4 linked regions of the Drosophila melanogaster genome follow. Changing the gene in region 1 together with any one later gene gives a genetic interaction. Each region holds a gene or a part of one and is shown in the gene's direction. Other genes may lie near its edges. The genes, in order: jing, hth, btl and sim.

Region 1 (5,014 bases):
AACATTTTAAATAAATAAGCTTTTTAAATGCCTTTTCAAACGTGCGGAAAACCTTTTTTAAAGTCGTATTAATACACATTAAATTGGAGTCGAACGGAAAATATTTAGCATGGAGTTGATGTGAAAAATTTATTTAACATAAAGGTTTCTGTCTTCGTTTATGCGTTCGGAAGTTTTAGATATGTGATTATTTATGAGTCTATTTTTTTATCGTAATTAAACTGACTTTGCGTTGGTTAACCAATTTTCCCGTTGATGGTCAAGGAACATCATGCAGTTCGCTATCAATTTTAAACTGGTTTGATTCCTTACTTAGTTTACATGCCCACTTATGTAATTTTGGAATTATCTATAAAAATACTGAAAAGGCATAACTGTTTATTTGGACGTAATCGCTGACAAAAGCTGTATGCTGTGGCAATCTGAGCTTTACACTGAGAGCATTTAAAAGACCCATAATTTTTTTTTAATTGTGATGGGCTCCAGTATAATTGCCAGCTTAGATATTTTATTGAGGAAATGTTTGATTATATTTTATTTTTATATTTAATAATTTAATTTAATATTATCTACACATATGTATATGCATCTACAAAAATATTCAGCGAAGTATGAATGCAGCATTATGGTTGTTTTTCTCTCAATTGTCTCAATCCTATTTTCACTCTCTCTCTCCGTTTGCTGCAGTTTAATAGCTTTCCGGAAAATGCAGCGCAAAATGCGAACGCAAGCTTATAAACTTATTTAACTTGTCACTCTTACGCAGTGTATTTTTGCATTTACAATGGTTGAGTGAGCTATTTTTTGCAGAGCTTTTGTGAGCTAAAACATTTTGATTGTATTAGATGCATTCCTCGGAAATGAATTCATTCACTTAATTAAAGTGATCCCAAGTATGTGCAGTGTAAAACGTTCAATAGGAACAAACATTTTATTGGTAGAGTAAAACTGGACACCAAACGAGTTTTGTCGCACTCGCACACACCCGCAAAATTCTCGCGTAAACATGTCTTCTTTGTCCCTCCTGTTTTTGCAGTCTCCCTCAGTTGCATCGCACAGACGTACGTACCATTGCTTGTAGCGTAATAAAAGCACGTGTTGTGTTTGATTCCTCGCTCCCTCCCTTTCTTTGGTCTTTAAAAACAGTTGCGACTTTAGATTGTGTTTGTGAGAGAGCTGGTCTGGCTGCCTTGCTGTTTTGTTATTGTTTGGTTTTTGCCATAACTTTGTTTACTTTTATCTTTTTTTATACAAGACTCGTGTTTTTTTTGTTTTTGTTCTTGACTTTTTTGGCCTTATTAAGTGTGGGCCAAAACAGATACATATAGCCAAGGTATTGGTTATGGGTGCATATTCTCCACACATCTGTATTTAGCTTCAAATTCGAGCTCAAGTTCCCATATAACCATGCTCGCTTGGATGAACCGGTTTTGAGTTTTATCGAACCGCAGGAACCTCTTGTATTCTGATTAGTTCCCACACATATCAACAGGTAGCTGCAGCTTGGGTCGCTTGTGTGTGAGCGAACTTGCCACCGCGGACACATCGGAAGTTGCTGCCCATCTAGCCAGCCGCCAAATGCTGAAATTCAAATACGGAATCTCTGAACTTCCCCAGAAGTTCAAATGCACACACTCACACACACAGAAAGAACTCACATTGTAGCGCAACAAGCTCCCCACGCGACCCTCTCTCTTGGTCCCGCTCTCGAAAACCTGCTGCCGCTGCACAGAAATCAAAAGTGAACACACTGCACGCGGCCCTTTCTTCTCCTCTTCACCCTCAGCTCGTCGGAGAGCCCCTATTAAAACGAACGGCAGTTCGTTGCCTTCGTTCTTGCTTCGCGTGCTTCGTATCTTGATTTGTGCCCGGTTCTAGTTGGCTAAGCCATTCGGCTGGCACTCGGTCCGCCGCCTCGCTTCTCGTCGGCTACCTCTTCGGGTGGGGCCGCAGCGCTCGGTCCACTCCCACTCCACTTGGCCCCACTCGTCAGTCAGTCGGCAGGCAGAGCAAGAGCAGCCCGCAGCTTTTTCGTGGGGAGATCGCAGTTTTTCGCTTGCCAATCGATGGCGTTTCGGAATTCTTAGCTTGCAGTGCAGCGCTTCTTAGACTTTGTTTAATTTGGTTATACTGCAATTGGCGGCTATTAAGAGCAGTGACCACTACATTAATTATGAATGGTACGCGCGGCAGACAAGTTGGCCCCGCGATAAGTAAATCGCTAGTTTGCTGAGGCACATTGGAATGCATTTGATTAGATTGCGATGTGTTTGTTCGCCCGTCATTGTTGTCAATAAACAAAAGCTGGCTCGCAGTCACAGCGACTAGGAGGTTAACCTGACTTACCCGTTTCGGTTTTGAATTCGGTTTCATTGTCGCTTTCTTGAACTTGCGAGCACCGCGTGGCCAATCTTGCAGAATGAATTTCGGGTGTGCACCGGAAACAACCGACAGTGAAATAACTACTGGCCATTCACAAATCCATAAAGCACAGTGTAACACTTTGTAACGGATCGCAAATCCAACCACCCCACGCAAATCAAAACCGAACCCGCGACGTCGATTAATTTTATGATGATCAAGTAGTTTCTCGTTGAAATATCAATCGAATTGAAAAATGTGTGTCATAAGTGCAGAAGTGAAGTGCAGCTTAATGCCAAAAGTCATACAAGTGCAATTGATTTAAATGAATTTTTGTTTAATTTGTATAAATATTTTTACTTCTCGTAACTCGATAGTCCGACCCACGAAAGTCGTAAAATGCAAGTTCATGGCGATATATATATACCAATTTGTGCAAACTGATGGGGAAAATCGGAATGGTAACACCATTTAAGGGCAGTGCGGCTAAAAATTGCTGACGAGCAACTTTCAGATTAATGCAATTCAAATTGGCTTTCCGTCGACTAACAATAAGCCGTTGGGAATAGCAGATGTGTGCTAAAGCAGATCCAGAGTTCTGGCAGCAGTTAACACCAATTAAAAGCGTCGTTATAGCAATAGTGCAGCAAACATAGAGGGAAAATGTCAGTCACTCAGCCAAAGGATACGGCATTAAAGACCAAGGAGTCGGCAGCTGAAGTAGCAGCCCCTCTGGCCCCACTCTCTGTCAAAACAGCAGGAGCAACGGGACGGAAAACTTTAACCTCCAGCGCGGCTTTGTCACTGTTTGATCAGCTGAAAAATAGCGTCAATACAAACAGTTTGACAATTGGCGCCGGCGTCGGCAACAACAGTAGCCCAGAAGCCACACCACCTATAACAGCACCAGCCAGTACAACCACCGCCTCCCCGATACTTACTCCCAAAAGCCCACCACCCACACCACCCATCAACAAAAGCCCGTCTCTGTCCTCCAATATTGAACTGAAGCCCCCGGCCAAACCCGCTCGGCCCTTTACCTCGCCCAGCACTATTGGAATCGTGCAGGGTACCAAACGGGGGGTGGGCGGAGTTTTTGGCGGGTTTGGAGCCCAAGCCGCCAAATTGGATATAAACGCATTGCGATCTCAGCTCTACCAGGGCGCCAGGAAGACTGCAACAACATCTCGAGTGGGAGTCGGCAAAACAACAACGGTGGCAACAGCCCCAAGAACAACTGGAGGAGAACGTGGCACAAAGGGGTCCAAGAAGAGATGTCTAGATCGGTACGACTCGTCGGAGTCATCAGACAGGTGAGTGCATGTCGTGGGCACACTACTGAAGTTTGGCATTTTGCAGCGATAGGGAAGTACGTTGCTCTTCGACAGTTCTAAATTCTAGTCGTAATTTGAGATTTTTTGAGGTTTATTTAAATGCAAAGGCAGGCACGATGGTCGTATCTAATTTATGAAATATATTGAAAACTTAAAATTTTTAAGGAACACAATAAGACTTATTTAACAATAATAAAAAATAAACTTTTTGCATAAACACCTTTAGTATACGCCATAAAGACATTCAATAGCAGCTTACCCCGTCCCCTTTTCATCGACGTATTTAATGGCATCATTAAGCGTCTTAACAATGCAAGCTGCCAAATGTATTTCTTAGATGCACTGCCTAACTATAAAGGGAAATGCAAAAGTGTATCTGCGAACCGGCTGGCTGTGCCAAGTCTGAGCCAAAGAAAATTCTCTAAATATACACGCGCGCTGTACTGCCAAAAAGTGATCCAAAAGTGTGATCCGTAAGACACAAATAGAATGCAGCCCATCCCAATCATGATAAACGTATGAACCAAATCTGCAATGCTCAGCGAGATCTGGAAAAAGCTAATAGCCGATTGAGCTGAATTTATCTGACAGGTAATCGTTCCGATAATTGTACAGAACAGCAAAGTGCCAGTCTTGTAAGGGGCCTACGAGGCACGTGCCTCATAGATTGCAAATTTATGGCTTACAGATACATTTGTATCTACTCAAATGGGCAGCCACAAAACCTCTTGCCGCAATGCCAACTAATTTCCGCTCATTAAAAATGCGCAGCACAGTAGAGGCAGCAGTGGAATGGAAACAAAGGAAGAGCAAAGGCCGCAACGAACTGCAGGCATTTGTATCTGGCAGATACGCACAACATGCGTTCATTTATCAGCCGCAAATGGCGGCTGATGCGCCGCAGTAGCAGAGCTGCTGATTTTCCATGCGGCGCGTGGGCGGTTGAGCAAACGAAAACAGCTTCCTGGCTGCATCGATGTAGATATAGATGCAGATACGAGTCCGAAACCGAAACCACCCCCTCGGGGAAATTAATCTTGAATATGGACGGTGCTCTCTGCCGATCTGCTGCACAATTGTCGATTATGTTTAAGTTATGTTTCGGTTTTCAGAAATGGTTCTGATTCCATACATATCTTCTAAACGCCAATGTGGCATTTGTGTCTGGTTTCGCAGCAGCATGTTTCAAATGTTTTGTGGGGAGCGTTTTGTCAATTGGCTTGGCCTTATCACCGTCCTCGTATCACCTCCCCAAGATCGCGTTCCCTCGTTGACTGGTGAGCGATTTCGGCGTTGCTTCTTTCTCTTCGTTGGCAGTC
Region 2 (4,966 bases), on another chromosome or scaffold:
TCTAACATTTCGTTGGGATCCTTGAACTTTGCTACCGCGTCGATCGATCTATTCGAATTTAACTTGGTCACCGATAAGTCTGAAAAGTTCCCACACTTAAGCGTTTCACTAATTTATTGCACTTAATTGATTCGATTTTATGTGATTTTTGTTTCACATAAATTACTTGGCTTTTGGCCCGAGCAGACGCACAAAAGTTGGACGTCTGAAAAAGCCAAAAGAAAGCGAGTCCCGAAACGAAAAAAGGGAAAAAGCAACCGCAAATCAATCAAAGTCTCATAAATTTGTCAAAGTGTTGACAAGACGCAGAAACAGAGCACCTATATCATACATAGTTCCCAAGATTTTGGGGGTTTGGGATTTCGGGATGAAATGGCAACCAGATTAAGTGCAACATCATCTTTTTGACCAGCGAAAACAGACACGGGAAATCCTTTTGGCGAGCGTCGGAAAACAAACAAGGCTATTTTTCATTTTCCTAAAAACGCCGGCCAAATCGCCCCGTCTCTCTCGCTCGCCAGTATCCCCGTCTCTTTCGGCGTAATGGCAACTGCAGCGCCAAGCCAAAAATACGCTGGTGAAAAATGGCCTGGGAATATGTGTTAACTGCTTTTTAAACTGCCACGAGGACGACGACACGACAGTAACAATAACAGCAACAATAGACAGGATTTCGGACTGAATACGAAGATTGGCATACCTTGTTACCCTGTAGTTATTGGTAAAACAAATTGGACTAATTTATTTTAGTTTAAAATGTAAAAAAAAATTTGTACAATCACGCCGAAGATATCACAATTGACTGAAAATTGCCCAAACATACTTGTCATCAAAAAACTTGTTCAAATAATGCAAAAGCCCGTTTCCTCAATTTTTTATTTTTGGTTTGAGATGTAACACCATTTGTACAGGGTATATAAAAAACCAAATGAGAGTAGATTCGCCAAACAGGAGCGCAGAATGACCTGCAAAATATGCAATTTTCAGCGAATGTTTTTGACAATTTATCGCCGTTCCATTTGTTGTTGTTCCCCAAGAAGTAAGAAAGAGAGAGAGAGGAGAAACTCGAACAGCTGTTTGTTGTTGTCAGGATCGCATATCCTTCCAAAGTGGCCAGATCACCGTTACAAGCCAAAAGGACGCAATAAAGGAACTGCAGCGAAAAGTTTGTTTTTGTCGTCCACGTTTCTTCTTCTTCTCCTTCAAGTTTCTTCTCTTTTTTGCCGCTTTTCTTCGAAGGCGTTGCCTATTCGGGCAAAAGTGTGTGTGTGCGAGTGTGTGTGGGGGCGCCAAAAGAGAGCGAAAAGTGAGCGAAAGCTGAAGCTGATGGACAACTGAAGCTTTCTCGCTGCCTTTCAACCTGTAAAGGTGCGGCGAAAAAGAGCCAAGCTGCCAACTGCCACTCACTCAAGCGAAAATAACAAATGGGATTGGTTTTTGCTGATTTTCGACGCCGACGCCGGCAGAGGGGCGAAAAACCCATAAGCCGTCTCCTTTTGGCCAAAGCCAAATAAATTTCAAACGCGGCGAACATTGCGCAAAAAGAGGCGAAAACTGAGAAAGAGAAAGAGATAGAACACCGCTGTACGGTACTGTATATGCATGTGAATGACAAGTGTGTGTATGACAGAAGAGGCGTACCAACAAATCAGTCATCGTCGCCCAGGATGCGAGCGCGCCTGCGCAGGCAATTCGCCGGAGCGTTCGCATAAACCATATATTCCTCTCGCTTGCACTCGCTGAGTTATGGCCAAGAGCGAGTTAATGGCACAATTGTTGCATCTGAACAGAGCGGGGCAGCTGCATGATTGACAATCATGCCGCACCGCTTGCACCCGTTGACTTTGCTGTTGTTTGTCGCTCAGCGCTCTCTTCGCTGTTAGTTAACAGCGATGTTAGGAGTGGAAACACGTCCGACTGTAGCGTAAATTCAAACGTATCTGGCGGGTTGGTTTTTCGATGAAATATCTTTCATCCGCACAGTGTATTTTTGACTGCGAAGCGCGTACGACGTGTGTCTGTGTTGCGTTGCGTTCGAATAAAAAAGAGAAGAAAAGCGAAAAAGTGTTGCCGTCGGTGAAGTTTATTATTATTATGATTATTATTATTGCCCGTTAACCACGCGTTTTGCCATCAATCAACAAATAAACAACACAAGAAACACTTTGGAAATCGCGCGCGTTTTTCCATCGCGCGAACAAAACAATCACGTTTTTTAGTGTGTTTTTCAATCACAATCGAAAAGTTCTCCTTTTCACAATTGAAGGCCAAAATAAATACTGTTATTTGAGGGCCGCGGAGGGAATTTCTTTCAACGAGGGGATCCCGCCGATCCCCCCGCAAAAACAAAGAAACACGCAAATTGCCGTCGCAAAAACACAACAGAATATATTGCATTATATATTAACAATATAATTTGTTCATCTCTAGTAACGTAGTATGTAGAAGCAGCTGTGATAAATAGTGCGCATATTATACGAAAAAAGCAAAAAGAGTATACGACAAACAAATAAAAATTAAAAGCAACCACAACTACTACTATAAAAATAACCAAGGAAAAGGCAAGGAAACTCGCAAAACGAGAGAGAGAGGAAAAGGGAAAAAACGCCATGGATTTATGACAACAACAAATGCAACCCAGTAACAAATGATGTTGCAGCAACTACTACAATACACGAGTATACCAAGAACATCAACAACAACAACTGCAACGGCAACCAACAACAAATTGTATACGATTTTTATAAACCAAACAAATGCTATGTAAATAATTATTATAACAAACACACAAGTAAAAAAAACATTCAAAACCAGATCTCCCGCTCTAGAAAACAAACAACAAACGCGCGCGTAACAAAAACGACAACATCAACAATACAACAAGTATACAAACGTAATAATAATACATAAAATCTAAACAAATGTGCCTGTGTTAAAAAAAAAGAAAGCAAAATCAAGAAGCAAAGCGTTCAAAAAGCAAAGGCTTCCCAATACATGAAAAAAGTGCAAAACATATATAAAAATCCAAGAAAATAACATCCAAAACTGAAGAACTGGAAAAGCCAAGAGTAAATCTAAGGACTCCACACGGGCAGCTACAGTAGAGCTTCCCTAAAACCGAAGCAGTTGCAGCGGCGGAGCGGGACGTCGGTCAGTGTGTTGCGCCCCCATTTGTTGTTCCTACTGTAAAAAGTGGCACAAATCGGGTTAGACGTCGCTCCCAGAGCATTAATGGCTCAGCCCAGGGTAAGTAGATCCACCAAAGTTCACTTTCTAAATATATAGAATCCATATAGAATGGTCCCCCGAGAGTGTTGTTATCCTTAAACAAGTTCCGACGGCTAAAAAACAAATGGGGTTCAGTCAATTTGTAATCAAGTCAAGTGGTGCCGACGGCACTTACAGGTTGTAGTTTATGATGATATTGTAACAGTTTTCATATCATGGATATGTTACCAGTGTAACCAAATCAATCTATAACCAGAATACGCAAAAAGTTTTAAAAATCTTCAGATATTAGTTAATCCAACTTCATGAAGTAGATCTATATAAATATTTCTTATACATGGCCTCCAAGCTTCTCCAATTTAACCCATTACAATCAATTCAATGGGGAATAGTTCTTGTTTATTAGAGCCCTATCAAAATGAATTTTAACTAAGCGTTTCTGAGTGTGTGTGTGTGTGTGTGCTTATGTGTATTGGAATAGGACAGAAATCACATTTGATTTATGCGGGTCATTTTCTGGTACAAGTTTATATAATTAACTGAGTCTGCAGCTAGACCATTTTATTTGGGAAGTGATGGAAATCAAAGATCGCCGAAATAGTGATAGATATTGTATTACATTAAACAACGGTTTACTCTAGAAAATCATTAAATAATGTTTATTGAAAATTGTTAGCTTTTCCCCTTAACTTTTCATTTTCACACCGCAATAGTTGATTCGATTTTTGTTTAAACATGGCTGGGACCTTCACCTCCGAAAAGCCCCCCCGTTGCATAGCCACAATGATTCCACCATTTTCCATCACGTTTATAAGGCATAAATTCTCGCCTCGCTTTTTAAACGGAGTAATAATTTTTACAATCCATCTGGATCGTAAATTATATGCTAATCAGGTGACCGGCAGTCTCCGCTCGCCCGCTCTTCAAAAAAATATTATTACCAAATCGCAGTTAGACTTTATCAATTGATTATCATGGACATGCGAAGTGAACTTGATTTTTATTTAACGGAGCAAAAAGACCTCAAACATGGCCGTTTGCCTGTGTGTGTGCTACCAATTAGCGTGTGTGTGTGTGTGTGTGTTACCAAAAGGTGGGCCATGCTCTTTGGGAGCATTAAAAAAATCAGAAAGAAATATAAAAAATAAAAATGGATATGGAAATGGAAATGGAGATGGGAAAAAAGAAATGCCCGCGGGAATTTTGTGTGTGTCTGCGTTACTGGCGAATAAATTTACGCCTGTGGTTTAATACCCGATTCTGTGCCGAATTTACCTCTTTGAATCCCCTTTTTCGTAATTCTCCTGCGGCTCTTTACCCGAATCGCGCCATTTCAATTCCATCAAATGAATTTTTCGACTCGGGGCGAGAGATATATGTATGTATGTACGAGTATGTGAATATATACGGGTGTTCTGTCTGTTTGTGTGCATTTGATGCATATAATTTTATTGCACATTTTGCACATTGCCAGCGGCCCAAAAGCGATCCATTCAGTTTATGCCGCTTCGTGGTTTTATTATTTACAATTTTATTTTTACCATTTTCCATGACTTTGCGCTGCTATAATTTGCGAAAAATGGCGGGAAGCAATTTTCGCGGGTTCTTCTCAAACCAAACTGCACATGCATTTTTATATATATTTAATTTGATTATTTTATGCCATCGAAACGGAGAGCAAACGAGAGAAACAGTGAGAAAGAGCGGCCGTGTAAAATGTGCAAAAAAAAAAAATGTG
Region 3 (7,794 bases), on another chromosome or scaffold:
TTTTGGACCAGCTGTCACGCAAGCCGGATTATTGTCACTTCGAGTTCTTCCACGGATCGCGAAGCAAAGGCCGCAAGACGGAGTCCATCCAAAAAGATCTTCGCAACATTTTTACCAGCTGCCTGCAGCATGCCCCCGCCATTGTTGTGCTAGAAAACTTGGATGTACTGGCCCACGCTGCTGGAGAGCAGTCCAGTCAGGATGGAGAGTACTACAATCGCATGGCGGATACTGTGTATCAGTTGATTGTTCAGTATACCACCAACAACGCTATTGCAGTAATCGCCACCGTCAACGAGTTGCAGACCCTCAATAAGCGATTGAGCTCACCAAGGGGAAGACATGTCTTCCAGACTGTTGCTCGTCTGCCCAATTTGGAACGAGCAGATCGAGAGATAATTCTTCGAGAGCTGTGCAGCCATATCAATGTGGCCAAGGACCTGGATCTTGTTAAGTTCTCCAACCTCACGGAGGGCTACCGGAAATGTGATCTTGTTCAGTTCGTGGAGCGTGCAATATTTTATGCTTATCGCATAAGTGAGTAGTTTGTAGTGTTAGTAAGCAACTTTATCATGTTAAATTCCCTTTTTTCCAGGCAAGACCCAGCCTCTTCTGACCAATGATCAGCTTATTGAGTCCCTGGAGCACACAAACTCGTACTGCCTGCAGGGCATTCAGAGCAATCAAAGAACTGGCAATGATGCCGATGCCAATGAAATGCGCGTCGAGGAGTTGCCTGGCCTGGAGTCAGTTGTGGGAGTTCTGGAGGAGGTCCTTATGTGGCCATCAAGGGTGAGTTTTAAACGAAATATATGTTTTTTTCTAAAATTTAATAAATCATTAATTTCTTACAGTATCCAACCATTTTTAACGCCTCTCCACTGCGCAACCAGGCCGGAGTACTTCTATATGGGCCACCAGGAACAGGTAAAACCTATCTGGTCTCTCAGTTGGCCACATCGTGGAACCTGCGCATCATTTCCGTCAAGGGTCCTGAGTTGCTCGCCAAATATATTGGTCAAAGCGAGGAAAATGTTCGAAACCTGTTCAATCGAGCTCGCAGTGCCCGACCATGTGTGCTTTTCTTCGACGAGTTTGACAGCTTGGCGCCGAAACGTGGTCACGATTCCACGGGGGTCACCGATCGAGTGGTAAATCAGTTGCTCACAGAACTGGATGGCGTTGAAGGACTGCAGGGAGTTACCGTGATAGCAGCTACCTCCAGACCGGAACTGCTAGATCCCGCGCTTCTTCGATCCGGTCGCATTGATCGCTTGGTGGAGTGTCCTTTGCCGGATGCTCCGGCCAGAGTACGTATATTTGAAGCACTCAGTTCAACACTGAGCCTTGATGAGTGCGTGGACTTCGATTGGTTTGCGGGAAAAACTGCAAACTACACTGGCGCCGATATCCAGAGCATCCTGACCTCGGCGAACATGGCGGCGGTTAAGGAGGCGCTAGCTCAATTCGGACACGAGGTGAGCTGGGAATTATTTTCACCGGAAACAATCTGCTTTATGGGTCATGCAAGCTTTCAACCGTTTCTTTCATGTTTTATTGTTTCTCATCCTGATTTCAAATGTAACTTCTATGTAAAAACTCCTTTACGTGTTTGTCTTTTAAATCAAAAGTGAAATCTATGCTACTTCCTGCAACAATGATTAGTCACGTAGTTCTTAGTCTCTGGCCACAGTATAAAATACCATTTGTTTCTTATTGCTTTCCCAGAAACTGGCAAAGAAAATTTCCTTGAAGCAGAAGCACCTGATTGAGTCGTTCCAAACCACTCGTCCTTCGCTCAGCGCCTCCGATGTGGCCAAATATCACAGAACGTACGTAACAATGTCTTCTTTGTTCTTCTGTTCTTCTTACCTTTTTAATTATCTCTTGGTAGGTATGCTCGCTTTACCAACAAGGAGAAGACTTCTAGGGAGTTTGTAGCCAAGCGTGCGACCTTGGCTTAAAGACAAAGACTTATAAGCTTAGCATTATTATTATTTTAAATTGTTTTTTGCATATTTGTACATCTGGAAAATGGAACATTTTGTTGGAAGACGCAAGTCTTAGGTAGTACATATTTCATAATTTTTCTTGTTGAAAAATAAAAACCAAATTTCTTTTATGATTACTTCGTATAAATCCATATACCACTCCGGAGTGTTAAATTGAAAGAATATTATATTTTAATTATAATGTACATACATGTATAAAAAAGAGAAAGAGATGTTCAAATTTAAGAACTAATATCTTTTCGCATTCTGACCTCGGTAAACATGAGTGCTGTTAAGGGGTGGCTCCTTAACAAATGAAGACATCAGGTGAGTTTGGTTATTAATTCACCGGAAATTGTGTTTAGCTATAACAAGTTTTTGATAGCTAGTTTGGATAGTATGTCCCTCCTTTTCGTATTTCCCAACTGTTTCGCATTTGTTCCCATAGCCCCTAACAAGTGCATCAAAAATGCATTTAACTATTTTTGGGTAGATTACGTGCCCGGCATCTGGATCTGGATTTTGGCCTATGCGGGAGCTAGCTGCTGCCATGCCACATGCAGCAACTGAGATTTTTGGATATCAGTCACGTAACGGATATTTCCTTATTGATATGCGATTACCGCGCATGCGCACGTACTGCACACCACTAAGACAATGGACACATTTTCTTTTGCATAAATTAAGCCGCCAAGCAAACAAACAGGGAGGGAACCCGAAGGCCAGATAATAAAGAATTTCAACGAGTCGAAGCCACCGCAAACATGCTTAGAATAAAACCAACAAGAACCTAGCAGAAGCAGCAGCAGCAAACCAGCAATAAAAAGAAAGGAAACCGCTCAGGAAAACTACCAGCGAAAACAATTGCAACATGCGGGAGGGAGACCACCTCGATCAGGTAGCCGTCCGAACCCATACCATCCCATCCGAAGACCCTGTGCCCAGGATCCTAGCAAACATTATCGCAGGGAACCACAGATATCCACTCGTTTCGTATCGTATTGGATCGTATTGGATCGGTTCGGTTCGATCGGCACGTTCGGATCGTTCGTATCGTACCGCGTAAAAGTTTCTTCCGTTTCGATCGTTACTTTCAGTTGTTTGCGCACATTCAAGCCAATCGGTTGGCTCCTTCCACAAACTTTACGGATTACGGTTAGTGCAACGGAAGTGAACCCCCCCCCCCCCCCCCCGCCCAACACCAGCTACCCATCACATATTTCTTTTCATTTATGCCTGGTAAAGGGAAATAAAAGTTGGCAACGAAGCGGAAATGCAAGGCGCCTTCCGCTGCCCTCTTGCCGAGTCTTAAGATTTTTATACAAGCCCCAACCGCGATTGACAGCCGAATAAACATAGTGACAATGTTTTTTGCAATCTTATTTGCCTTCTCCGGCTCCTCGAAAATAAAAGACAAAGAACGTGATTTTTTTGGTCAAAGATTTGGGGTTGTGGCATGGCAGAAAAGAATTGTGTTCCCACTGCGAACTGACAAGCAGCAGTGAAACCAAAATAAAGCAAAAAATAATTTAAGAGTGAATTGTTCCAGCAGTAAAATAAATACAAATCTTTCCAAGTGCAGCCAAAAGATCATAAACCACAGATAAATAAAAACAAAAAGTCTGCAAAGTAACCAAATGTTAAAAATAAAATTTTAATTGAGACAAAGAAACGTGATAAAACTGATTCATACATAATTAAATAAACACCAATGAAATAAATAAGAAAATAAAATTAAAGTGATGTCAATTGTATGAATGAATAATTTATGTCTTGATCCAAACATTCCTTTTACATTAAGTCAATGTTTGCAGAAAGAAAACTGAATGGGGAGTTAATACCCAGGGTTCCAAATAAAGAACTTATTCTATTCTCGATATAGCTGATTGACCAAGTTGAAATATCAAATCGTTCATGCATTAGATTTATACGCTCGATAATAATTCACAAGATAAAAAGGTGTGAGCTAAACGGTTTTGGCCATGTGCGCTTGTGGCTTAAAATCGAATCGAATAATATTGAATGAATGACAAACTGAGAAAAAAATTAAATAAAAATAGCAATAATACATACTTCAAATACAGCGATCGACTCGTATTTGGCAACAAATGAGAAAAAAAGGAATTGAATAAATTAAAACCTGCGACGCGTGTGCATACATACATAAATCGGGCCTGAAGTCAAACGGCTAGCGGCTAGCGGCAATATCGGCTAAAACAACAACAACAATTACTGGCAGCACTAGCACCATATTAACAACAACAATGACAATCGCAACGGTTGTCCCAAGCCTTACAAACAATAAAATACTTTTCATTAAACAGCACAGTGGTCAAAACGATTTTATAAAAGTTAAAAATATTTTAATTTTCTGATAGAAAAAATAGTCGAACTATGCTATGCCCCCATTATTATCAATATTTTCTAAACTTCGTTTAAAACTTTACATTTTGTACAAAGCTTACATTCGCAGACAACAAGTTTGGGAATTTACCCTATCATCATTAATCATTGAACTAAAAATTGTTTATTTTTATTTGGCAAACATTTGACGAACCCAAGTAGATGGAATACCCACTGTCCTATACCCTTTACGTGATTATACTAAAAATTAATTTTGAAATAATTATCTGCTATTAGGATTTTCGAGCAGTGTTATTCAGTGTTTAAAGCATAACTTTATTATAAATATACCTTTTAATTGATTAAAATGCTGAGCTCATATTGCACAGAGAATTTGAATGTTAATTAGTTGCTATTTCAGATTGTGGCAAATCATTTAGGTATTTCTCGATTTGTTGTTGCAATTCTCTAGCACCTTGTCTGTTTGTTTTGTAAGTGCAAGTATAGTACTTGGGGAATAACTGAAAAGTGTGACACCACTGTAACAACTGATTTCAACAAATAGCTAAGTGATTTTCTAACTGTTCGGCATTTAGTTGAATGGAAATCGAGGAGCGCAGGCCGCAGCAACAAAAGCATTTGGCGAACGTCGAATATAGACAAGTTATAATGGAGATCCCCTTCGGTAGTGGGTGGCGACGAGTGTGTCCGGCAATTCGGTGGCTTCGACCACGTCTTCCAGCTCATTACGAAGGCAGGGCACACAGTTTTCGTTTGTTTCAGTTGCTTCTCCTTTGGATTTTTGCATATCGGTGCGGACAGACTTGACTTGGCTGTGTGCCGTGTTGGCAATAAAATATTAAACAATAATAATAAATAAATAAAATGACACAGATCGGGAACTAAGGGAGGGGCAAAAAGTGAAGCGGAGATTTGGCAATATTTATTGATCCACTTATACAGCTGCGGTCAAAAGAATAGTGGCACAATAGTGGTATTCAAGTAACGAATAGCTAATAATATTTGCATTCATAACTTCTTAAATTTAGTTAAATTAAACAAAATTCCAAAGTGTTATTTTTAAAGTATAATATATCAATCAATGCCATGTAATTCATATATTTAATCCTTTCCTTTAGCTGGAGAACGCTCGATTTGAAATCGAGGAACTCGAATGAAGATACCCACAGGAAGTGATATTATTTCGACCGCAACTGTAACCCATATGTACACGATCGTGCCCATCCAGATACGAGATCTTGGTGGCTGTTGAACTCAAGAGAATCCACTTGAATCATGGCAAAAGTGCCGATCACGCTGGTGATGATCATTGCGATCGTCTCTGCCGCTGCGGACCTGGGATGCGATTATGGCCATCATCGTTGCTACATCGATGTGACTGTGGAAAACAGTCCCCGCCAGCGCCATCTGCTCTCCGACATGGACATCACGCTGCAGTGCGTCCGACCCATGGCCAAATGGTTCTATGAGGATAAGTTTCAACTGAGGGCTACCCTTTTGCGACTTGAACGAGCACAGTCCGGAAATTCTGGAAACTACGGCTGCCTGGATAGTCAGAACAGATGGTACAATATTTCCCTTGTTGTTGGCCATAAGGAACCAGTTGGCAATGATATCGCCAGCTTTGTCAAGTTGGAAGATGCACCGGCCCTCCCGGAGTCAGATCTCTTTTTTCAGCCCCTGAATGAGAGTCGATCCCTGAAGTTGCTGCAACCCCTACCCAAAACCGTACAACGGACCGCAGGTGGCCTTTTTCAGTTGAACTGCAGTCCCATGGATCCGGATGCAAAGGGTGTTAATATATCCTGGCTGCACAATGATACTCAAATCCTTGGTGGACGTGGACGCATTAAGCTTAAAAGGTGGTCATTAACAGTGGGGCAACTGCAGCCGGAGGATGCTGGAAGCTATCACTGTGAGCTGTGCGTGGAACAGGACTGCCAAAGGAGTAATCCGACCCAATTGGAGGTGATAAGCAGAAAGCACACGGTGCCCATGCTAAAGCCCGGATATCCCCGCAATACCAGCATTGCCCTCGGGGACAATGTGAGCATTGAATGCCTACTTGAGGACTCTGCCCTGGAGCCGAAGATCACGTGGCTACATAAGGGGAATGCGGACAACATCGATGACCTCTTGCAGCGTTTAAGAGAGCAGTCCCAGCTACCTGTGGATGTTACCCGATTGATTACCCGAATGGATGAACCGCAGGTACTTCGTCTTGGAAATGTCCTGATGGAGGATGGCGGATGGTACATATGCATAGCCGAGAACCAGGTTGGACGCACTGTGGCCGCCTCCTATGTGGATCTTTACAGTCCCTCAGATACTACCACAGTTCGCACGACCACTACTACCACCGTGGCCAGCCCAATACCCACTGCATCCACCGGAGAGGACAACGATGACGACGTGGAAAATCCAGCAGCGGAAGCATCAGGCGGCGTTGGTCCACCTGTGTTCAGAAAAGAGCTGAAACGATTACAGCACTCATTATCGGGAAATACTGTCAATCTAGCCTGTCCAGTGTACGGCAAAGCGAACATCACCTGGACGAAGGACAAGAAGCCGCTAAACCGTGAACTCGGCGTCTATGTGCAAAAGAACTGGACACTCCGCTTCGTGGAGGCCACCAGCGAGGATTCTGGACTATACAACTGTAAGGTGTGCAATGCGTGGGGCTGCATCCAGTTTGACTTCAGTGTCCAAATAAACGATCGCACGAGATCCGCACCAATAATCGTGGTGCCGCAAAATCAGACGGTGAAAGTCAATGGCAGCTTGGTGATGAAGTGCACCGTCTACTCTGATCTGCATCCAACAGTCAGCTGGAAAAGGGTTGTCCTCAAGAATGCCTCCTTGGACGGCCTTAAGTCTGTGGAAATCCAGAATCTCAACTTCACCGTGACGAATGACTCCGTAGTTTTAACGCTTCGTAATGTGACCTTTGACCAGGAGGGCTGGTACACCTGTTTGGCCTCAAGTGGTCTGGGAAGGAGTAACTCCAGTGTGTACCTTAGGGTAGTGAGTCCTCTGCCACCTTTGGAGATCTACGCCCTGCTGCACGCCCATCCTCTCGGATTCACCTTGGCCGCTATTACGATAGTGGCTTTGTTCCTTTTGGGCAGTGCTTTCATAACGTTCATGCTGCGTCGGCTGAGGAGGGAGAAGCTCCTGAAGCTCCGCATCGAAACGGTTCATCAGTGGACTAAAAAGGTGATCATATACCGACCGGGTGGAGAAGAAGGAAGTGGCTGCAGCTCCGGCGATCTTCAGATGCCAGTGATAAGGATCGAGAAGCAGAGAACAACCGTTTCCACAACGGGAACTGGCGGTACTGATCCCGCCCAGGGCTTTAATGAGTATGAGTTCCCGCTGGACTCAAACTGGGAGATTCCCAGGCAGCAGCTTAGCTTGGGCTCCATTTTGGGTGAGGGCG
Region 4 (7,613 bases), on another chromosome or scaffold:
CATTGAGTTGCCATTCGAGGCATGAGTCGCATTTTTATACGCTTTCCGGGAAAAGATCGTTAAAGTTTGAGTTTCATTGTCGTGAAAGGGGAACTTTTTTAGCCCTAGGGTTTATAAATATAATTGAAAAAAAATTTGAAATGACAATTTATTTAACATTTTTTTAATTTTCTGTAAAATATTAATCCTAAAGATGTGCACATTTTACGATGATTTCATACTATCTAGCATGTTTTGATTACATCTTTGTTTCCTATATCCAGAATTGAGATTATTGAAACAAACGCTGATATATCAATGGCATATTCCCGTATTTATGGCTATATGAAATGCTGTAATGTTCAAATGGAATAATGGCTTATATCCTGAATAATTTTGACCCACTTACGGCTCGTAAACTATCCTATTAAATGGATTTGCCGGCATATGATATCCAACCCTCTGGCTGACTCCTGTCCGCATATTGTACGCTAGTCGAGTCAAATATGGCAATCGCGGCCTAAATGGGAACGCCTCAGTTTTCCCCTATTTCCCCTGGAATTTCCACTTCGCCAACGGAGAAAGGGAAGCAACCTCACTTCAGACGTGCATGTTGGCACATTTGCGTTGCGGATTAGCGCGGAATACTCTTTAGGATTATGATCGTTGGGCAAATCTGTTGCTCCTGCGAATGCGTAACGGATGTCGACAATTCCCTCAATCTCTGACTTTTGACAAATGTTTCATTTCTTGCTGCTAAATGGATGCAAAGTACTATCAATACAAAGGAAACACTTTATTGGAGTTTTGGCTTTGATTTATTTTTTAATTTTTTATCATAAATTAGCTAAGCTCTAGTTATTCCAATATACATTTAGTTGAAGTATAAAATTTGAGGTATATATTGCATTATATGGCCATAAAAGACGTCGGATTAACTTGCATATCTAACATTTTTGTGGGCAAATTAGCGGCAAAACTAAAAACATTTAAGATACGTGACCTAAGTCAATAAACTTGTATTTACGTGCGAATTCCAGCCATTCGGTACATTTAGGTAAATGGCCAATTTCTTTGAGAGTGACAGAAAAAGTGACTCGATGGAAAATAAAGCAGCAGGAGTTCCAATGGCTTAGATTTTGCCAAAACTGCGCCAAAATCACGTTCGAAAACTATCAATGGCAGGATTCCGGCTGTGGGTCATCCTCATCCTGGCTGTGGATGTGTGTGAGTGTGGTGCATATAAATTTCGCCACCTCCTAAACTCTCGTTTTGTTTGGCAGTGTGCGTGGGACATCATTTGGGTATTATGTGCTCGCACAGACACCAGAATATTTGTGTGTGTGTCTGTGTGCATATAGATATAAGTGAAACTCCTGCGGTCGGCAAAAGTCAACCTGTTGAATGCAGGAGTCACTTGGAGTGAGATGGCAGCTATTTTCGTCTCGCCATTCGGCAAAAATGATCTGAGCAAATTAGTAACATTGCGAAAAGTCAATTGCCCCGGGTAAACAGGTAAAAATCCAGTGCAGCCAATGGCAGGTTGTTTTCTCAGGATCAGGTAACAGATCCTTTTCGGGATCAGTTGGGAAACTGTTAAAAGTGCTTGTGCCGCTGGAAAGCGGCTCAGTTGCAAACAGGTGATTGCAGGGATATGAGCAAGTGCTGAGAAGGTGCTCGCAACAGTCTCAAAGCAGGATCTATAAAAAAGGATATCTTTAAAATGACTAACCATCGGCGAGTGCGCAAGGATTGCTATGAGAGCAGATTGCATGGTCGGTTGTGGTTTTTGGCAACGAAATATATCAACGTTCATTTTTTTTAGTTTGTTACCAACTTTCTCCTCTGTTACTAAAAATGCTTTTTGGTTATTTCGATTTTTGCAGATATAGCCAAAACGTGTGCCATGAAGGAGAAAAGCAAAAATGCGGCACGCACGCGACGTGAAAAGGAAAACACGGAATTCTGTGAATTGGCCAAATTACTGCCGCTGCCGGCGGCGATTACTTCGCAACTGGACAAGGCCTCCGTCATCCGGCTGACCACGTCGTATTTGAAAATGCGCCAAGTCTTTCCCGATGGTAAGTTCAATCGGAAAATCGTCCTGCGGAAAAACTCACTTGATTGGCGCTCAATTTGTCGCCGCTCTTGGCTTTTCATCTCGTGTGAAATGCGCCTTGTGGCTACACGGCAAATGATGCGGAATCTTTGACAGCCACGCGACCGACACGCTCATTATAATCCAAGCTCGTCATATCCTCGCAGCAGGACATGCTCCTTTGTTTTCACTTTAACTCCAATGTACTTGCAATGATTTCATTTCATTCCATTTTACGCTGCCAGTTTTCAAGTTTAAGCGGCTATGTTTGTTTAAAGCATATGTTGGCGAGAATCGGCCAGGGAAATAACAGGGAAATAGCACTCAACAAATGGGCAGACAATAAACAGCAGGATGAAGTGGGCGGCTGGTTGGGGTTGGCGAAAACACAATGGCGGCTGCTTGGTTGTTTCACTCAAAGAGCAGCGAGAGCCGCACTGGAAAACCGAACTCGAACATCTCCCCCCCCCCCCCCCCCACACACACACACACACACACACATTTCCCGAACTTTTCCCCACCGACCATGTGAGCGTGCGCCACTGAGATTTTCTGCTGACAAAGAGGGTTGCTCGAGAAGTGAGTGGGTGGGTGGTTCGTTGGTCGGTCGGTTGGTTGGGCGTTTGACGCTCCCATTGTTGCCGCACCGTTTTGTGCTTTTCTTTTCAGCCTTTATTGAAATAATTATTTTAATAATAGGCAACAAACAACGAGATCCGGACGGGCCAAGGAAGTGCCAGTGGTATTATGTACAACACAATATATGTTGTATATATGGTGCGAAGTCGATGAAAGTCGGGGGGGGTGGGCCAGTGGGTGGAATGGTGGGCTGTGAATGGGCCACCTACGGCGCTCGATGACTTTAATTGGGAATAATATTTAGACGTCAGCAGTGGCAAGTAGGGCGTGTGCTGCCACTGCCACTGCTGCTGGTGGGAATTTTGCGAATTAAGATACTTCGAGCGGATGACAAACAATTAATTCAGGACATTGGGGCGGATAAGACAATAGAAACGGGAGCTTGACATAATACTAAATCCAAGTCCAATCAAACGGAGACAATAGAAAGGACAGCTTAAATATAAAACTATATAAAAATCATTTAAAACGGAATACAATTTGATTGTATTAAGTAGCAAGAACTTTTTAGATTTCATTTTTAAAGACAATAAAACATGTTTCATAAATCTAAATCTTATTTTGTAGGTCTTGGCGAAGCCTGGGGCTCATCGCCTGCCATGCAACGCGGCGCCACCATCAAGGAGCTGGGCTCCCATCTGCTGCAGACGCTGGACGGATTCATCTTCGTGGTGGCTCCGGATGGCAAAATCATGTACATCTCGGAAACGGCCTCCGTGCATTTGGGCCTCAGTCAGGTGAGTGTCGGTGAATGGATCTCTTGTCCTGATTTATGCGCATAATTTGCCGGGCCACCTGAATTTGCCTTTTTGTATCCTGGCCACCACTTGCATTTGCAAGTCAATGGGCTTGAATGGTGCAGGTCACCCAAGTGCTGTGGCTTCAGTAAAGACGATTCATTTGCATTTGCCCACTAATTGGCACTCAGTGCTGGTGGAGCAAATTAACATAGCTCCACTTATATGATCAGCATAAAGAAATTAACTTTACATCAGTATAGGATATATTTTATATAAATTTAATATTTAATGGTTTATTTATCTCTTTTTTTTAACCAGGTTGAGCTGACGGGCAACTCGATATTCGAGTACATACACAACTACGATCAGGACGAGATGAATGCCATTTTGTCGCTGCATCCGCACATCAACCAGCATCCAGTGAGTAGAGCATCCGTGTTTCCACAGAGTCCTTTGAAACATTTGAAAATGTTTGCGCTCTCTTTCTTTCTCTCTCCATCTCTCTCTCTCTCTCTCACTGCCATGCATCCATCCTACTCTGACTTGTACTCACGCCACAGGCCGCCTTTCTCAACTCCCTACAGCTCGCCCAGACGCACACGCCCATCGGCAGTCCCAATGGCGTCCAGCATCCATCCGCCTACGACCACGATCGCGGATCGCACACCATCGAGATCGAGAAGACCTTCTTCCTGCGCATGAAGTGCGTCCTGGCCAAAAGGAACGCGGGCCTCACCACCTCCGGATTTAAGGTAAAGAATTTTATACATACCATTCCTTTAAATGGATTGATTGCTTATCCTTGTATTACTTGATGATTTTAGGTGATACACTGCTCCGGCTATCTGAAGGCTCGCATCTATCCCGATCGCGGGGATGGACAGGGCAGCCTCATCCAGAATCTCGGCCTGGTGGCCGTCGGTCACTCGCTGCCTTCATCCGCCATCACGGAAATCAAGCTGCACCAGAATATGTTCATGTTCCGGGCCAAGCTGGACATGAAGCTCATCTTCTTCGATGCACGGTAAGTGTAATTCAAATTTCCATTTAATTAGGGCACAAATAGATGAATAGTTCGTTGTCTGCATATTTTCTATCACTTTGTATTGAAATCCACTCGAGAAATTCCTATAAATCTTACAACATCGATTTATTGGATGTTTAAATATCCTTAATGTTTAATATCCTTAAATATCATAATGTAATTCTAAGACCAATTTTTATCCGTGTAGCCTGGTGCTTTCACAGCATAATTTTTCTCACTGCACTTAAAAAATTCTCGAAAGTATCCTTTGCCTGTTTGCCGTATATTCGACACTAGGCAAATATTTAAACGGGCCGCAGAATTCGTTTTTTACACCACGATAAAAAGTACCAGCAGACGCCCCCAAAAAGATAATGTTTTCAAAGTGGCGGAAAACAAAAAAAATAATCGAGTAGGGAAAAGGAAATGTAAGCAAGACGGTGGCGACATGACAAAAGGAAAAACAAATCATTTCCCTCTTGAGCTTGATTTTCCTTTGTCCCTGTGCGTGTGTGTGAGTGTGTGAGTGAGTGCTGAGGGGGAAAGGGGACGCTGTGTAAGTGCCTGCCGGGCCAAAAAACCAGCCCACTTTGTCTGACATTATTGTCACTCAATTACCCTCATGATGCCACACAGCATATTGCCATCCTATTCTGGCGCCCTCGCACTTTCGCAGCAAACAACCCCAAAGTGCTGAGCGGGAAATCAGCCCCTTTTTCGCCGCTTCTTTTTTTTTTGTTTTCCTGCATAATTGAATTGGAGTCGGCAAAAGTAAACCAACCGAATAAAACACGCCAGCGACAAAGGCAACACCAATGACCATTCATTCACTGTTTAAATAAGCCAGCGAAACTTTTGCCCTCGACCTCGAAACTTATCCCCATTCTCATGCTCATCCTTTTGCCTGTTTATTTGCTTACAGCGTATCGCAGCTAACAGGATACGAGCCGCAGGACCTCATCGAGAAGACCCTGTATCAGTATATCCACGCCGCGGACATCATGGCCATGCGCTGCTCTCATCAAATCCGTAAGTACACTCATCCCAATACACTGCCATAATAATTTCCATAAAACATCATTCTCATCGAGTTTGTTTCTTCTCTCCCTATCAATAGTGCTGTACAAAGGACAAGTGACCACCAAGTACTACCGCTTCCTCACCAAAGGCGGCGGCTGGGTGTGGGTGCAGTCGTACGCGACACTGGTGCACAATTCGCGATCCTCGCGAGAAGTGTTCATCGTGAGCGTGAACTATGTGCTGAGCGAACGAGAGGTGAAAGACTTGGTGCTGAACGAGATTCAGACGGGCGTTGTGAAGCGGGAGCCCATATCGCCGGCGGCTCAAGCGGCACAGGCAGCTCAAGCGGCCCAAGCGGCCCAAGCGGCACAGGCGGCACAGGCGGCACATGTGGCTCAAGCGGTGCAGGCCCAGGTGGTGGTGGTGCCCCAGCAGTCGGTGGTGGTGCAGCCGCAGTGCGCCGGAGCAACGGGTCAGCCGGTGGGTCCGGGTACGCCAGTTAGTCTGGCCCTCAGTGCAAGTCCCAAGCTGGATCCGTATTTCGAGCCAGAGCTGCCGCTGCAGCCGGCCGTAACGCCCGTGCCCCCAACGAATAATAGTAGTAGTAGTAGCAACAATAACAACGGCGTGTGGCACCACCATCATGTGCAACAGCAGCAGCAGTCCGGCAGCATGGATCACGATAGCCTGAGTTACACGCAGCTTTATCCGCCCTTGAACGACCTGGTGGTGAGCTCGAGCAGCAGTGTGGGCGGTGGCACCGCCTCAAGTGCGGGCGGTGGATCCAGTGCGTCGGCCTCGTCCTCCGGCGTTTACTCCACGGAGATGCAGTATCCGGACACGACCACCGGCAACCTGTACTACAATAACAACAATCACTATTACTATGACTACGATGCGACGGTGGATGTGGCCACCTCGATGATACGCCCATTCTCGGCCAATTCGAATAGCTGCTCGAGCAGTTCGGAGAGCGAAAGGCAGCTGTCCACCGGAAATGCCTCGATTGTGAACGAAACATCGCCCTCACAGACGACCTACAGCGATCTGAGTCACAACTTCGAGCTGAGCTACTTCTCCGACAACAGTTCGCAACAGCATCAGCATCAGCAGCAGCAGCAGCATCTGATGGAGCAGCAGCATCTGCAATACCAATACGCCACCTGGTGATCCTAAAAATGTAAATAACCAAATGTTGGACGATGAGCCTTGACTGCTACTGTACTGTTGTTTATAAAACGTCGACTGCCCCCACCCCACCATCCGTTGCAATGTTATATACACCTCTGAGTTCTCAGTTCGAAATTGTAATATGTGGCTGAGCCACACACCATCTGAATTTCAGGACCTCCTCTATGCCTCTATTTTATTTATTTAACACCCCCACCATGCATTACCCAATGCAATGCGTTCGCGTTAATTGTGCAGTGTAAAGTTACAAAGAAATTGATACAAAATGCTAAGAAATTAAGAATGCGGAATGATCGTTGTTAACAAATGCAAAAGCAAATACAAATTCTAATAATAAATAGTTGTAAGGCCTAACTGTAAACTGTTCATACAAACTAACTTAAATTAATTGCACATACTTATACTTATAACTATATAGTAAAGCGCATACACTTGGCCCCCATAATCATGCATACACATCGGATCTACGAATATACATATGTATATGCAATAATGTGTAAATAGTGCAGGGTCCGCTCCACTATGCAGTTAACGAATATGATCTTCATAAGTCAAGTAAATAATTGTAAATGTAAAATCTATTATTATCGAGAATTTTTCTAATTTGAATAAACAAATTATTACGTGGGTGAACAATAAAAAAAGAGCGAGAGTTCGATTTTTTCAAATAAGCGCCGCTGGAAGCCTCTAGAGTTATTATTTAATTTAGTAATCTTGGTTTACAAATAAAATGTTATTTTCAAAAACTAGCACCTTTATCTATTTCCATTATCTTTGTTTTAAAATTATCTATTTATATGCTTTTATATATTTCACAATTTAGCGTTTTAATCAAATTTTGTATGGATTGAAAAATGCAGCTTTGACGCAATAGCCGATTTTAAAATATTTCGTTGCATATTTTTAGGTAACATACTAAACT

What was found.
Region 2: of jing (region 1) and hth, changing one enhances a phenotype caused by changing the other (phenotypic enhancement), as found in Drosophila melanogaster (one study listed by BioGRID).
Region 3: of jing (region 1) and btl, changing one enhances a phenotype caused by changing the other (phenotypic enhancement), as found in Drosophila melanogaster (one study listed by BioGRID).
Region 4: of jing (region 1) and sim, changing one enhances a phenotype caused by changing the other (phenotypic enhancement), as found in Drosophila melanogaster (one study listed by BioGRID).

The regions. Positions count from the first base shown.
Region 1 is NT_033778.4:6,500,015-6,505,028, forward strand, and holds the start of jing (jing), read left to right. Parts: upstream 1-1,991; 5' UTR 1,992-3,024; coding exon 3,025-3,674; intron 3,675-5,014.
Region 2 is NT_033777.3:10,611,265-10,616,230, reverse strand, and holds the start of hth (homothorax), read left to right. Parts: upstream 1-1,954; 5' UTR 1,955-3,231; coding exon 3,232-3,246; intron 3,247-4,966. UniProt on the Drosophila melanogaster protein: All isoforms are required for patterning of the embryonic cuticle. Acts with exd to delimit the eye field and prevent inappropriate eye development.
Region 3 is NT_037436.4:14,073,982-14,081,775, forward strand, and holds the start of btl (breathless), read left to right. Parts: upstream 1-1,832; intron 1,833-1,894; coding exon of another isoform or gene 1,895-1,964; 5' UTR 1,965-2,067; exon of another isoform or gene 2,068-2,142; intron 2,143-3,083; exon of another isoform or gene 3,084-3,146; intron 3,147-5,473; 5' UTR 5,474-5,630; coding exon 5,631-7,794. Other genes in the region: Pex1 (peroxin 1), read left to right, coding at 1-537, 596-792, 855-1,478, 1,729-1,832, 1,895-1,964. UniProt on the Drosophila melanogaster protein: May be required for patterning of muscle precursor cells: generation of mesodermal and endodermal layers, invaginations of various types of cells, and CNS formation.
Region 4 is NT_033777.3:13,070,797-13,078,409, forward strand, and holds sim (single-minded), read left to right. Parts: upstream 1-1,602; 5' UTR 1,603-1,702; coding exon 1,703-1,754; intron 1,755-1,865; coding exon 1,866-2,060; intron 2,061-3,283; coding exon 3,284-3,453; intron 3,454-3,774; coding exon 3,775-3,876; intron 3,877-4,016; coding exon of another isoform or gene 4,017-4,040; coding exon 4,041-4,208; intron 4,209-4,280; coding exon 4,281-4,480; intron 4,481-5,402; coding exon 5,403-5,509; intron 5,510-5,597; coding exon 5,598-6,670; 3' UTR 6,671-7,328; downstream 7,329-7,613.